Linked DNA regions of Kluyveromyces lactis. The protein of the gene in region 2 purifies or fractionates together with the protein of the main gene of each other region. This does not show direct contact. Links are inferred from orthologs where the notes say so. Each region holds a gene or a part of one and is shown on either strand. Other genes may lie near its edges.

Region 1 (5,072 bases), on a different chromosome or scaffold from region 2:
AATTGAGAATTCAAGTAGAAACGTTGGAGAAACAATTGAGCAATAAAGGCTCTAGCTCCTCAGTAGCACTGGATGAATCGGATTCCGCCAGTATTGCTTCGAATCAAAGCGATGAGTTAACATGGGAGATGAAAATTCCAACCACCTAATATCAAAGGTTAGATTCACCAATATATTAATGTCGTTTCCTTAATCTATCTATTAAATATTTACAAGAGAATTTTTAAATGATAATAAACACTACAATTTATTTACAGGTTTCTTGGTTGTGAGCTGTTATCATTACTGTAATTCTCATTATTTTCATAGCATCCATTCTTTCGTGATGTCATAATATCAAAGGTCTAATGACTTGATCTCTTCCTCCAATTCAACTATCTTTGATTTCCGATTCACCACACTCAGAAGTCTTGCAGCGGAGTTCTCATCTTCAATAGCTAGCAACGCTCTGTGTAGGGACTTAACCATAGAATACTGCCAGTTTACCGTCTTTAAAGATGACAAAATGATACTCAATGCGTCTTGATACATCTTTTCATTCGTGAAGTATTCGACCATTAGTTGAGCGAAAGTTGCGTCACTTTGTTGTCTTTCACCTGGTGTTAATTTCTGGAAAGCGTCAGTCATTCTGAATTTACCTCTGTTCTTCCATGTTGTCATAGCAAGTTCGTAATCATGGAACGCTATGGCTGCTTTCATCGACACTTCGTAGATAGCACAATTAGTGGCTAGTTTGTGTTTCATAGAAACCAAGTATAGAAGGAATTCTGAGGGTATAATACCGTTATCAACCAAGGCATTGCTGTCGGTTGTGTTAAAATCTTTTGAGAGTACAGGTGATTCCAGTTCGTTCGTTTTTGATTTTTTGAATTGATATTCCACCCTTTCGTTGAATTCGAACGCTTGGAATGTGAATTCCTGTAACCTCAATTTGAACTCATTGGGTTCATGAAGCCTAATAGGTATCGTGAGGAAAGTTATCAAAGATTTCATATTGAGAATCTTGTGATTGACATATCTGTTTTTCCATTCCAATAAACGCTGCGAAATCTGCAGCTTGAATTCATTAACAGTTTTTGCACATTTGACAATATTCTCTATATCTTTCACTGTCTGCATACCTTCTGGTAATTCTCTAATGTCATAATTTCCGCCAAACTCTAAATTAAATCTCCATAAGGCTTTTGATTCATTTATAGTTAATTCTGCATCATTAAGCTCAGTCATAGGAAGCATAGGTAATTGAATATTTGAATTCTCATAGGAGGAATCTCGTCCCGAATAGTCAACTGAATAAATCATGCTACGTCTCAAGCTTGAACCTTCTGGATATCCTAATAATACTGGTAGTCGAGACTTTTTGAATTTAGAGTACGATAACATTAGCCAGTTAAACATTTGTGCGGAAAGAGATTTCTTCCAAATGCGAATATAATCAACTGGATCGGTATCTTTGTGATACTTTTTGAATTCATAGAAGTGTGCTTTGAACAATGCGTTCGTATATTTATAGTACAACGCACGAGCAAATCCGACGTCACCATCATAAGCTGATAAAACCATCATTGTCTCTAGCAGCAGCATGTTGTTGCGTGGATTTTCGGTTAGCTGTTTGGATAATTTAGGATCATCATGAATCTTATGGATGTACTTCCAACTCATTAACCTTAATGAATCTGCTTTACCTTCACTTGTTACGTTGTCAGCACTTGACAATGCTAAGGATTTAGCTGCGTTAAGATAAGTCTTTAGGTCCTTTGTGACGTTCAAATCGTCCATTTCTTGGAAAATATCTAATGATCTTGCGTAATTCTTCTCCTTTTGACACACTTCGAGCATCAAGTTGTAGACCTTAGTATCTGGTTTGTGTTCTAGGGACAAAAATTTAAGAGAGTCAAAGAGTTGCCAAGCTTTCTTATAGTGTTCCATCTTGGTATAGAAAGAAATGACTGTCGTATAGTTCTTTCTGTTAGGTTGCATATCATACGTCGAGGTGAATTTCTTTAAAAAAAAGTCCATATACTCCCAGCTCATGGCTTTTGAAGCTGCAAATATACAAGCATTTAGCATATACTGTGTTGGCTGGAAACTTTTCTTCGATAATGTAGCATCCATTCTCTCTGTTAACTCTCGAAGTTTACCACATACTTCCAATTTGCCCTGTGCTGATGGTGATGTAACCCGAGAAAAAGACAACATGAGATGCTCGTATAAGTTACCATTTAACCGCGAGGAGTCATTCCCAACGCTTTCCATTATCATCTCATCCAATTGGGATAAGCTCGTAAAGGAAAGTTTATCGAATTTCGAAAGAATCTTGGAATAAATAAATTGGATTCCTAAACCCTTTAGTCTCTGTTCTGAATGGTATAGTTCTGTTACTATCGGATTAAAATCCCTATTCCTCTTATCAAACAAACACCTCAAAATGAGGTCCTTGTCCTTTATCCTCTCTGATAATCGCTCGGGTAGTAACGATGTATCAGCTTTATCTGATAACAAAAGAGTTGAAAGATTCTGTTCTGCCCCAGGGCCCGCTACCTTATCGTTCAATGAACTTAAAATAACTCCAGCATCGCTGTCAAAATCATGCATCTCGGGATCTACCGATTTTGTCTCCTCCTCTTCTATAACATGCTTACGCTTTAGCTCATCAGTGTACTTGATCTGTTCTCGAAGATTTCTGGTGAACTCTTTCAACTGATTAACCTTGAACTGAACTTCCTTCTCATTAGTGAAATCGATTGAATCCAAATCTAACACATCTTTCGTATCAGTGACAGATCTCGCCCGTCTCTTACGAGATCTAACATCTCTGCTAGCTGGCATGATCACACTCCTTCGCGCATTTCGTACCAGTGTTGACGAAGTCTTACCATTCTTTCCAAGTGAAAGCATTCCCTCTTACAGTGGTTTCCAAAAGATCAAAAGAGCACCTTTTATATGTTCCTTACACTATAATTCAATTAATCGATGATCTAGCGACAGATAACACCGATTGAACTTTTGAACTAATACTTTCATGGTAAGTTCATCTCATCTCATCTCATTTCTAACTAGAAATTTTTCAATCTTTAATGTTAAAGATTTCTTTTTCATTATTATGTGATAGTGAAAAATTAGAGAGACAATGAGATGAGATGAGATGAGATGAGAGAAACACATACAAAGGTTGTAACAAAGTGGTCGTGACTGGAGTAACCATTACTGTAGTAATCGCGAAAGTGTACGAATTATCATGTCAGACAATACAGCAGAACAGCAGGATATACAGATCAAGGGTAAGCCCGTTAGTGGCCGCACCTGGAAGGTAGAGAAAGAACCTTTGAGGGCTAAGAACAGAGTCGTGAAGAATAAGAAGTTGACCTCATGGGAATTGAAGAAACAAAAGAGACTAGAAGATCAGCAGTTCAAGGAAAAGGTACGTGCTTTGAAGGAGGAGAAGAAAGCCGAGAAAGACGCTGTTATTCAAGCTTTGAAGGAAAGAAGAGCAAAGAAGGAAGAACAAGAAAGGTACGATAGATTGGCTGCCAAGATGCACGCTAAGAAGGTCGATAGACTAAGAAGAAGAGAAAAGAGAAATAAGGCTTTGAAAGAGCGTTGAGACATAAAGTCATAAATACTGTATAATAGAATAAAGACATATCTGCATTAACGATTTAGGCTTGTTCCGTCCTCCGCAATTGTATATACTGACGATGAAAAAGTATGTGGGAAATTGACAAAAATTAAAACCAATTTGCTGCTTCTGTGGATCGAACACAGGACCTTATGAACTTCAGTCATACGCTCTCCCAACTGAGCTAAAGCAGCCAAATTAATTACAAGAACCAGTTTTCTTTCGCTCACCTTGCACTAAAATTACTGTTATGGATATTTCTCAATGATTTTCTAATGATGGATGTGAGTGTCAACTTAACGATAGAACAGGATTAAGTTTATAGTGTATGAGATACGTCTCGGTACGCTCTGATATTTCGAACGGTGAATTTATTAGTGCTCTGTTAAAAGGGATCTTTTGCTCAGTGCCGTTGAAATAATTGAAACAATGTCAAAGGATTTGGGAGAGATTATCCATTCGGATAAAGGCCATTTACTGGAGCTTATAGATGAGGATGTTCAGTCAATCAACGTAATTAAAACCAAGCTTCGAGAGCAATCCAAGGACCCCGTACCGTCTAAAAAGAGGAAAATGAACGATTCGACTAGTGTCCTAGATGGAATAAATGAGGAAGATTTCAGGCAATATAACCAGGCTAAAGATAGAGTGCGAGAATTCTACAAAGAACAGCATGAGAAACAGACGATGGCGTACAATTTACAGGCAAGAATTAATTTCAAGACTAAAGTGCGAGCCAGAATGACTGTTTGGGATGCTTTATGCCAATTAAGTAAACTCATAGATGAATCGGACCCAGACACAGAACTCTCCCAAATAGATCACGCATTACAAACGGCTGAAGCGATAAGAAATGACGGTAAACCTAGATGGATGCAGCTCGTTGGGTTAATACATGATTTAGGTAAGATCCTATACTTCTTTGAGAGTGAAGGGCAGTGGGATGTTGTCGGAGACACTTTCCCCATTGGTTGTGGTTTCGTGAAGGAAAACATCTTTCCTGAGTTCTTTCAAGGTAATCCCGATAATTCGCATCCAATATATTCAACTAAACTAGGAATATATGAAGAAAACAGTGGCCTAAAATCGGTGATGATTTCGTGGGGGCATGATGAATATATGTATTATATCGCAAAGAATCAATCAACTCTGAATGAGAAGGCTTTGGCTATGATTAGATATCATTCCTTCTATCCATGGCATCGAGAAGGCGCATATCGATATTTGATGTCAGAAAGCGATTATGAAATCTTGGAAGCTGTACAGGATTTTAATCAATATGATCTCTATTCCAAGGGATTACAAAAACATAACCGCGATGAATTAAAACCGTATTACCTTGAATTGATCGATGAGTTCTTTCCTCAAAAACTGGTTGAATTCTAATAACGGACTCGAGACAAGATAACTTACCTAGATAAAAAACGGAGAACATTTAATGTGCTATATTATG
Region 2 (5,794 bases):
TCGTATCCGTATTTCTGGAAGAATTCATCGTATAGAGAGAATGCGGTAATTTTTGGCAGAGATTGCAAAGTTTCAACTAAGCCTTCAAAGTCTTGGTAAAAATCTGTGATTAGAATTGAATCCTGAGACCTGTTAACATCCCTAAGGACCCTATTCCAAAGTAAATGATTTTCTTCGAAAAACTGTTTATAACTAGAATCAGTAATGGCATTTGCATCAATCCACATGGTTATTTGCCTGACCATATAAAATAGAGACTTAACCAATAGCAGTAATTCCTCTACAAATTCTGACACAACGGCAAGATCTTCAGAGGCATGCCTTAACAAGAAGAAGATGTCATTAAGATTTTCTATTATGCTATTTGTTGTGAACCAAGGGATATTTTTTGATACATCATCTGGGCTCATCTGGAAAAGTCCATACCTGTAGCTGTTTTCACATTCTTCTAATATGGAATGATAAACTAGTTGATTTATAAGCTTTGCGATCTGAGATTTTAACATAGTTTCATTTGTGGATTTCATTAGGTCTTTCAAATGCTTCAAAAAGGCGCCCAATAATTCTGGAATCTTAACAATGCCGTCTGAGATAAAATCAGAATCCGATTGATAGGAACTTTCTGATAGTACTGTCTTCCAAGCTTGTGAAATAGATGTTGGTTGTTGCGGTAGTAAAGAGTACAAGCTTTCCAAACATTTTATCATTTCAAAATCAGAAATCAAGTCCAGTTTGAATTGGGAAGATGTTTGATCCAAAAAATTATGAGCAACAAATGTGAGAAGTCTTTCAAAAAGTTCGCTTCTTATTTTTAAGTGTTTCATGGGGTTGTTAGCAACAGGCGGTATGTGGTTTGATAATGCATATTTAATCTCATCACTGGACATTTGAATATCTGTTTCAATTTCTTGTGGTTGTAGATCTAGATTGTCAGGTAAGTTGAAGTCTAGTAATGAATCCGTTGATTGTCCTCCAAAATAGACGTATTGATCCACATGAGACTTTATGAATCTAATTTCTTGGAAGTCAGAGTTTTCGTATTTTTCAAAAGTCTCCAACTTTAACGCACATGTTCTTCCATCAGTAATGTATAAGGAACTTGAATTACAATCGTACCCAAGAACTTTCATATCTTTGTTAAACCGTATAATGTCCTCCCATTTCCTTTTAAATGGATAATTAGAGTCCAATTTGGAACTTGTTTGAGTTAGGACAGCAGCATCAGAGAATAAAGTGTAAACAGACGTTATCGGTAAATGTTCCTTGGTGTATGCAGTTGGGACTATAAGTCTTGGGGCAAATTCATCTGATAATGGTCGCGTGTATGTGTTTAATCTGTAAGTAGAGAAGATAGCGAAACTGTTAGTATCTTCATCCACAATGATGGTTGATAGTAAATAGTGCGTTTCGTTACTTTCCGCTAAGAAACTCAAGAACAAGTATGCATCCGAGTCTCCTGATAAAGGATGACAATCGAGTAGTTTCAGTGTAGATGTTGCCAAGGGGAAATGCTCTAAGACTGCCTGTGAAATTTCAGACTGTACATTTAAATCGATCTTTTTGTAACAATTCCCAACAGATGAAAGGTTCCACACCTGATATCGCCCGCCCTGGGTTAAAATAGAAACTATTCTTTCTCCTTTACCGCTGATTTCGCCCAATTTGAGAGATACCACTCTCTTTGATTTGGACATGGATGAAAAGATTCCGACTTGACATTTTATTATGGTTTGTTTTAGCGATACAAAAGGTTTCCCGTTAGCATCTCTTATAGTACAAAACTCAACACGCCCGTAATTTGTCGAAAGTAATATTCCAGCTGGTTCTGCATTAATCAAATTCTCTACATATTCACCGTCACGTAGTTTTAAAACTGATTTATGACGTTTGGTTTGCGTCAAGAAACTTGCCACTTGACTCACAGTATCAACATCTTCATAGAATTGAATGTCACCGGATCTACTGTTCACTAAAAATAAGCCAGGGCTTGATTTCAAGTCACGTTCGAGCACACTAGGCCACGTAAAGCAACATAATGGAGGACGGGACCATGATTCATATTCCTCGTCATGTAATGGAATCCTTACAAAACTAGGGTGTGTTTCAGAAGATAAAAATGGCCAAACGTAAACATTATCAGTATCGCAGCATAAGGCGTACCCAGATTTTGCATCAACGCTACAACATAATTCCACATTACTGGGCAAAAAACTTAAACTTGGCGCTAACTTCGATACCTTATACTTCCCATTCTCTGTGATAACTTGTTCATTCGAAAATTGTACATTGGTGACAGCAGAACCAGTTGTCGTTTCCTCAGCAGAGATTACTGAATCCTCTGGTGCTGCTGCTGGTACACTAAGCTCTTTCCTGAGCTGAAACAATTGCTTCATCTTGTACTATCTTGACACTGAAAAAAAAAGCCAAAAGAATCACCAAATGTAAAACTTTGAAATTCTAATCTCAATTGATCCACTACCTTGTTAGCCGAACCTAGCTTGACCTTGCATTGCTGTAATTATAAAGGTAAATAGACTCTCTGATGCTCATTGTTTAAAATCTTGGTCAATGTTTCTGTTTTCATTGTCGCCAAAGAAATCGTCATAAGTGATGTCACGTGAAACATTTTCCGCCACGTGACTTTGGAATAGTTTCTTTTCACTTATCAAGTAACTTGGAAAATTAAATCTTTAAACTGGAACAAATCGATGCGATGAGCTAAATGCGATGAGCTAAGTTACAGTCTACATAGTTCATCTTTTGGCTCAGATTTCTATCCTATAAGGTGTAATTGTTGTGATTTGTATCAAGACACCGTAAACACCAGGATGATCAGAACAGTAAAGCCTAAGAATGCCCGTGCTAAAAGGGCTTTGGATAAAAAAGAAGCAAAATTGGTTGAGAATGTAAAGCAAGCTTTATTCATTCCTGGTCAAACTTCTACCAAGTTGTTGCATGATTCAATGGTTGATTTGAGTGCGTTGAAGAAGCCTGATATCAAGAGATTCTCCAAGAAGAACAACATCAGACCTTTTGAAGATTATGAACCATTAGAGTTTTTATCTGAAAAGAATGATACATCGCTTATGGTGTTGAGCACACATTCTAAGAAGAGAAGAAACAATTTGACTTTTATTCGTACGTTTGGGTATAAGATCTATGATATTATCGAGTTGCAGATTGCAGAAAACTATAAACTTTTGTCTGATTTCAGAAAACAAACTTTTAACGTTGGGTTAAAGCCAATGTTCAGTTTCCAAGGTGCAGCCTTTGAACAACATCCAGTTTACCAGCATATCAAATCATTGTTCCTTGACTTTTTCAGAGGTCAGAATACCACTTTGCAAGATGTTGCAGGTTTGCAACATATCATTTCTATCACTGTCCAAGGTGATTTCCAAGACGGTGAACCATTACCAAATGTTCTATTCAGAGTGTATCACTTGAAGACTTACAAGTCCGAACAAGGTGGTAAGAAGTTACCTAGAGTGGAATTGGAAGAGATTGGTCCAAGATTCGATTTCAAGATCGGAAGAATTCACACTCCATCTCCAGAAATGGTCAAGGAAGCCCATAAGAAACCTAGACAATTGGAAGTCAGAGTTGCTAAGAACGTTGAGATCGATACTATGGGTGATAAGATCGGTAGAGTGCATGTGGGTAAGCAAGATTTGGGTCAATTGCAAACTAGAAAGATGAAGGGTTTGAAGGCTAAATACGATCAAGTGGATTCGGATATGGAAGAGTACCTAGAAGAAGTTGAAGGCGATCTTGATCAAGAAAATGTCGATGACACTTACGGTGAAGAATTCGTAACGGCAACAGATATCGATGCTCCACCTGCTAAGAAGCAAAAGAAATAAATTCCATTGACAATAAAAACTGACTGTATAATATAATTCATATACATATCTAATCATATACATACACATTCGCATATATATGAGATAAAGGTGAAATAGAGTATAATTCTTTTTTTTTTTTTGATCGATCCACTGCCTTAATTCGTGGAGGCTGAACGGTTTTGCAATTTTTGTTTGTTCTCTACTAATCTGAGCATGTTTCTCAACAGCATGGAGATGGTTACTTTACCGGTGCTTGGAACGTATAGCGATGCTTTTGATTTCACAGACTCATCGAAATTCTTCTCTGAGGAAAAATTGATACAGATAGCGCCTTCTTTAATGTAATCAGTAGGGAACTTGTATTTTTCACCAGGAACACCTGTTATTATCACGTCAGCATCTTTACAGCATTCCTTCAATAGCTCCTCTGAATATGCACCCAAGTCTTCTACATGATGTTTCGTAAACTTCAAACCTTGCCCACGTGTGAACTTCTGAATGTTGTTGATATCAACAGAAAACACATCAGCACCATCATTTGCTAACAGAGCAGCTAGAGGTCTACCAACAATTTCAGATCTATTCACTACAACACATTTCTTCCCATAGAGTCTGTTCCCTTCTGGTAACAAATTGTTATAAACTTTCAAATACTCCAAGATTTTCACTACAGCTAATGGAGTGCATGGTAGTATCGATTTCAACTGTTTCTGATCATCCAAATATCTAATGTTATGGTACATATTCTGATAATAAACGTGATTCAACCCTTCTACATCTTTTTCCCTTGATACCACTTGTTGCAAATACTGATCTTGTGCGTTTCCGAACACAGGGAAATAGATCATGATACCATCAACGGAATCATCTTGGTTAGCATCGATGATAGCTTCTTCCAAGAAGTCTCTATCTTCAATTCTTCTCAACTCGTAACGGAACCCCATAGACTCGCAAGTCTTTTGAGTCCAGGAAGCGTACATCTCTGCAGCTGGATCATTATTGGCCAAAAACCCAACTAATAACGGACCATCTGGTCTAATATTCCTGAGACTTTCCACCTTTCCAGTAATTTCTTGAACGTAAGTTTTAGAAATAGAAGACGCTAATATGGTACGGCCTGGCTTTTCTGTAGACATGGTAATTTTAACTGCTTTGCGGCGGGTGAGAGGGGGTAGATGTGGTTTGTCTGTTTGTACCTTAAAATATGAGTTGACAAAAATAAATAATGTCGGTTCTCGAATGAAATATCCTGATATGTAGTGATTGATTCAGTATTTGTACACTCTTAAACCAGAACCGATCTAATACAGATTCAAATATACGTTTTTATATATATATGTATATATGGTATATCTATCTTTCATCTAAATCTACTCATCTCATCTCATTCTATCATAATTAAGTGATAATAATAATTGATATTCCAATGGCTCGAATGAGCGCCCTATAGTAACTGTCAATCAGAGTCAAAAAAAAAATGATTGGAACAATATAAAAAAAAGGAATTTCAATCACGTGATTTAAAATCAGGGCATGTGATAGTCACGTTATCTATTTTATATCCGGGTAATGGATGTTTTGGAATTTCGATGGAATCACCGTTTATAGGATATATTGGATTCGAAGCATGCAAAGCTAAGGAAGAGGAAAGTCAAAAGGAAATGGAAAGGAAATTGGAGCGCTACATAGGGTTTACTTGTATGACACAGTTAGGTTATATGGATGTCTAGTATTGTCATTAATCAAGGCATATCGTATAAATTTTCTGGTAAAAAATTGGGTGACATTTCATACATTTGTTGGTGTATTTTAGGGAGATCATTCACTAGATAAGTATAACAAGGTGTCTTAGGCCCTGATCATAGTTTAAAGAAGAAATAGAGGGCATTTTTTCCAAGTGTAATAGGGTAGAGTCTTTATATTTTCTTTTCTATCTGTTTTTTTTTCCC
Region 3 (5,425 bases), on a different chromosome or scaffold from region 2:
TGTTTCGTTGAATCAGTTTCAAAGATATTAGCCATAGAATCAATGAGACCAGTGGAAATGAGCTCGAAGCCAGATATGTTGGACATATCATCAAATAATGAGGATTTTACAGCAGTCCAGAAATCCATCCAATATTGTTCGGAATCAGATTGAACATCCAGTTCCTTCATCTTAGTGACAACAGCATTAATTTCAGAAAGCTCGCTGGAGACTTCTTCTTGGTTAGATGAAAACAACTCTAGTAGTGTAGCACTAAACATGGAAACATGTTTTATTAGGTAATAAGGAGTCAAATGATCGTAGATATTAATGCGGATTTTTCTCGGTTTGACAAATTCAGGTATGTTCATGTCGTCGTACTCCATCCTGTAACTGTCTTTTTCTTCATCATCATCTTCATCTTCAATGTCAGAATCAGATCCAAAAACAGGATGAGAATCAGAGTTTTCCGGACGTATATGATATCCTGACTTCTCGGCTTCATCTGATGACGATTCCTGTTTATCAATACTATCTTTCTTGCTGAGCTCATAACTGTAGTGAGAATTCAAAGAGGTTAAAGCATCTGGTATACCTTCTTTTCTTAGTTTCGGTAGATACAAATCCGGATTATTAGACATCATGATAGAAATTAACGAAAGCAGTGCTACTAGTACTGCACTGGTCTCAGTCTTCATATGATCTTGTTGCGCATTTGAACCATTGATGAGACCAGAGGATATTATGTTAATAACGGACGAACTAGGAATATCGTAGCCATGAGGTATAGACGTGAACACCCTAGCCAATGCAACAAGAACTGTATATCTAATCTTAGTATCCACTGTATTGGAATATATTTCCACCAAACAAGGAATCAACTCATTGACTAGTTCAAGGAATTTATCCTCATTTCCGTCAAATGTGAAAACTTTGACCTCATCGGCTGTCAAGATTTGAGAATCTTCAGTTGGGAGCAAAAGTAAGAGGAAAGTTGTTACCGACAACAAAAGCTCTTTAGGAACATAAATCAAAGTTTCACTGAAGGTGGAAGATGCTGATTTCTTATAAGACTGGAAAACGTTTTGAATAACTTTGTTCAACTCACAATCCAATAGGATTTGTTTTGACAATTCAACATTGGTGGAGACCAAGAGTGATGAAATATCCAAGACTTTCAAAACAGATTCACGTTCAATCTCTGAAGAAGATAACAACGACAATAACCTTTTAACCAACTCGAAGTCAAAGAGTTTAGATAATGATTTCTTGTTCAAAGATCCTGAAATGCTGTAAAGTGTTATGAGAACTGGCTTCAAAATTACTGGATTTGTACTATTTAGGAAGATAGATTTCAAGATGGGGAAAATCTCTGATACCACCTCGAAGTCACTTTCCTTAGCCCTAGCACATGAGTTCGCAACGATAGATAATGATTTTTTCTGCGCATGGACGGTAAAGAAATCCAAATATTGCAAACAAGAGAGAAGGGTACCGCTTCTTAAAATCTTAGATCCATGTACCCTTGAAATGAACTCTAAACACTCCAAAACTTGTTCTGCCAAATCGATATAGCTTATCTCATTCAATTTCCCTCTCAATATCTCAATAATATCTCTATTAACCGAAACCTCTATCATTTCTGGGTTCATCTCATAGTAGTTATAGAGACACCTACAAGCAATTAATTGTAACTCCAACTCTGCTTGTAATAATGGGCTAGACAATACATGGATCAAAGCGTCCATTAACTTGCCAGATGGGATGATTCGATCAGCGATCAAAGGGTTTAACATCAATAGCTGTTCAGATAATTCCCGGAGAGATTCCATAGCAATATACGGATCGTCTTCAGCTTGAAGCACATTCTCAATCAATTTCAAATACCGAGAATTTCCTCTGCTAACACCGAAAAACCCTTCAGACCTTCCTAGTTCTTGCAACAGATCTGGCAATGAACGTCCAAATGCACGCTCCGAATCAGCTTCCTCGCCTTCAGCAACATCACCATCCCCACTTTCACCAGATCTTTGATCCGCTAGACGAGAAACAATATCTTGTAGAAACGAAATCCTGTCCGCACGGTCCCCAGAACGGCTTTCATGATAAACATTCCCTATCTCACCTTCTACTTCCTCATCGTCTTGATCTTCATCTTGATCTTCGTCCAACTGCTCTCCTTGCGATCCATCTTCTTCCCCGTCTTCGTCTTCATCATCATCATCATCGTGATGGACAAACTCTAAATCATCTTCATCCTCTGGATAAGAATATTCGCCAGATTCAACATCATCACTTTCATGGCTACCGTTCGCATCTTCATATATGATATAGTCGCCATCGCCATCGTAATAACTCATCTTTTCAAAACCCTTTCCTGTTTCAAATCACAAATAAGAGGCAAAATTACTATCTAAAATTTCTAGTTCACAACCCGGTATCTCTTACCACCTTAATAATTGGTATCTTAGAGGTTGTTAGACTTTGGCAAGCAATACAAGAGGTATGTTTAACTCGCCGGCTGTTCATATCAAACCAACTAGTTTGTTTCCTGCTAAATATGTACTGAGATTGCAATTTCCTGACTCTGAACTTTTAAGGTACATTTTGGTCCGGTACACTGCGGTTTTATCTGAGGAAAATATACACAATACCCGTCGCCACAAGTAATGAGTCACGTGACTAAGTTTACTTCCCCATTTACAATACATCTCCGGTAATAGGTTAAATCATTACCACTATATCTACTTGCCCGATACACGATCATGCCCTATCTGTGCCTTTCTAGTCTTGATATTTGTGTTGAATTGAGATCTATTGTCTCATTGGCAATGAGTGAGAGACTCAGAAATCAGTCAAGGGAATTCATACCGGAGTTTGGTTTTGCAGTTCCTTAGAATAAACCTCTCTAACCGAGCTTATGAGAATGGCCCTAGAGCATTGCAAAAGAGCCGGTATATGTCTTACCGATTCACTTTGTGTCAGAGGTCGTTACTTTCCGTTTGGAAAAATCAAATCACGTGACTCACAACTAGAAAGAAAAAGAAAGGCGCAAATTTTTCAGTTTGAGAAAGCTCATCTCATCGCATCTACTCGATGGACCTTTCATAGTTTAAACTGATCAACAGTACTAATCGCTATATTCTATCAGTTGTATTCCTCTTTATTTATCTCTCTTCTGTAATTGAATAGTGTTCTGATAATTGTTTACTTTTCGTTACTCTTTATCATCAAGCTACTACATATACCAACCCAGATACGATGCCAAGATCTAAGCGTTCAAAGTTGGTTACATTGGCCCAAACCGATAAGAAGGGTAGAGAGAACAAGGAAAGGATATTCGATGAAGTTAGAGAAGCCTTGGATTCTTTCAGATACGCTTGGGTTTTACATTTGGAAGATGTGAGAACTCCAGTTTTGCAAGAGATTAGAAGTTCTTGGGTTGGATCCAAGTTAATCATGGGTAAGAGGAAGGTGTTGGTGAAAGCGTTAGGTGAAAAGCCAGAGGAAGAGTACAAGGAGAACTTGGCCAAACTATGTAAGCACTGTTCTGGTGTTACTGGTCTATTATTTACCAACGAACCTGTCGATGTAGTGGAAGATTACTTCAAGGCATATGTGAGAGCTGATTTCTCCAGACCAAAATCAAAGGCTCCATTGTCTTTTACCATTCCAGCCGGTATTGTATACTCTCGTGGTGGTCAAATCCCAGAAGAAGAAGATGTGCCTATGATACATTCTCTGGAACCAACTCTAAGAAACAAGTTCAAGATTCCAACCAAAATTAAGAATGGTAAGATTACCATCGAATCTCCATACTTGGTCTGTGAAAAGGGCAAAACTCTAGATGTTACTCAAGCATTGATCTTGAAACAATTTGGTATAGCAGCTGCTGAATTCAGGGTGAAGGTTGCCGCATACTACGATAACGAAACTTCTAGTGTGGAACAGATCAATATCAACATGGATTCGAAATAAATCCAAAAATAAGAAAGCATTGCAGTGATAAACTATAAATATATATATATAATCATAACCTATATATTTCTCCTTTGTACATTAATCTCTTCTCTAGGAATCCTTTATCGAATACACGTACTGCCAATATTCGGTCAGATTCTTCCAACCTTGAGACATCATTCCCAGATCTGTCGCTGACACCATTCTGATACGCACAGCGTACTGATTTTCCAGTCGAAGCGATCCATGAAGGATGAGGTTACAATGTCGCAGCTGGGAGATTGACAGATCAAGAGTTTTCTGTGTCTCTTCTGATTCCAATTGTTCTTTCGTCATTAACAGGGACTCTAAACCGTAGATGATAATTTCTTCATAGCACATCGATGTGTTTCCTTTATTCTGGAGCTCAATCTCGACATATGTCAAGTACATATATAAATACTGTAATTTATCAAGGAACAGAATCCGCACGTTGGATCGTCCCCTGACTATATCATCAATACTGTTAAAGAAATGCGTCTTGTTTTCCCGTAGATCTTGCTCGAAGAAACTTCGAGCCTTAACGCCAACTGCTATAACTAGAACTTTCTTGTTACGGTCCAATACATCACGCAGTACATCTTCCATCGGTTTATAAGGATGAAAAATAATCTTAACCAATGCTATCCTACTAGGAAATACCTTATCCTAATAAATTAATTTCACGCTTGTAAGCCGGTACATTAATTGTTTCAGATGCGTAATAGCCTTGACGGTTTGAAATGTTGATACTTAGACCACATAAAACACGTGATATTTAATTACTGAGAATATATCAAAGTATCAACTCGTATACAATGATCTGGAAAATTTTATTGAATTGGTGAATTGGACAGTTGGTTATCGTAGCGTTTGGTATATTAAATTACGATGATTTGAAGAAGGTAAAAGGTAAAGGAAGTGATTTAGTCGACATTTTGAGTGTTACCTTCACCTTATAGTGAGAACTGTATCATTTGTCCGGAATGTCTGTTAGATACTGCACCAAAAATTTGGTGGGGAGGGCGCCATTTGCCTTAAGATCAGGTGCAGTGAGACTGCAAAGTTCTTCATCAAAGGCTAGTTCCAGCGATGAGTCCAATGCTATAAAAGGCGAGAATGGTGAAGAATTACAATCTGTGGATGTAGCAGCGGCTCGTCAATCGGAATTTAACGGGAGTATATCTCAGCTTTTACATCAGGCAATGAACACACCAATAGAAGAGTTAGGAGATCTGGAAACCAAGTTGAAGTCGCCATTGACTGAGAAAGAACAACAATTGGATGAGAAATTGACTGCATTTTTGAGGAAGTACTCGAAATATAACAAAGTTTTAGATCTACCAGAGGATACCAACAAGTTCGACTTTAGTTCAAAAGTTTTGTCCCAACCATTACATACTAGAGAGTTCCCATATTTGTCGCACACCAGTAAAGAAAAGCCTTATTCGGAACAAGAATTATATGT

What was found.
Region 1: the proteins of RPF2 (region 2) and CGR1 purify together in Saccharomyces cerevisiae (affinity purification with mass spectrometry; 4 studies listed by BioGRID). This does not show direct contact. The link is inferred for Kluyveromyces lactis from reciprocal best matches to the Saccharomyces cerevisiae genes RPF2 and CGR1.
Region 3: the proteins of RPF2 (region 2) and MRT4 purify together in Saccharomyces cerevisiae (affinity purification with mass spectrometry; 3 studies listed by BioGRID, with this or other methods). This does not show direct contact. The link is inferred for Kluyveromyces lactis from reciprocal best matches to the Saccharomyces cerevisiae genes RPF2 and MRT4.

The regions. Positions count from the first base shown.
Region 1 is NC_006041.1:949,161-954,232, reverse strand, and holds CGR1 (Cgr1p), read left to right. Parts: upstream 1-3,238; coding exon 3,239-3,604; downstream 3,605-5,072. Other genes in the region: GPC1 (glycerophosphocholine acyltransferase), read left to right, coding at 1-149; CCM1 (Ccm1p), read right to left, coding at 337-2,898; KLLA0_E10737g (inositol oxygenase), read left to right, coding at 4,049-5,005. UniProt on the Saccharomyces cerevisiae protein: Involved in nucleolar integrity and required for processing of the pre-rRNA for the 60S ribosome subunit.
Region 2 is NC_006037.1:703,461-709,254, forward strand, and holds RPF2 (rRNA-binding ribosome biosynthesis protein RPF2), read left to right. Parts: upstream 1-2,828; coding exon 2,829-3,863; downstream 3,864-5,794. Other genes in the region: NUP133 (Nup133p), read right to left, coding at 1-2,393; MTD1 (methylenetetrahydrofolate dehydrogenase (NAD(+))), read right to left, coding at 4,001-4,981. UniProt on the Saccharomyces cerevisiae protein: Required for biogenesis of the 60S ribosomal subunit.
Region 3 is NC_006038.1:1,183,341-1,188,765, reverse strand, and holds MRT4 (mRNA turnover protein MRT4), read left to right. Parts: upstream 1-3,240; coding exon 3,241-3,957; downstream 3,958-5,425. Other genes in the region: putative ubiquitin-protein ligase UFD4, read right to left, coding at 1-2,339; SHU1 (Shu1p), read right to left, coding at 4,051-4,566; MRP4 (mitochondrial 37S ribosomal protein uS2m), read left to right, coding at 4,944-5,425. UniProt on the Saccharomyces cerevisiae protein: Component of the ribosome assembly machinery. Nuclear paralog of the ribosomal protein P0, it binds pre-60S subunits at an early stage of assembly in the nucleolus, and is replaced by P0 in cytoplasmic pre-60S subunits and mature 80S ribosomes.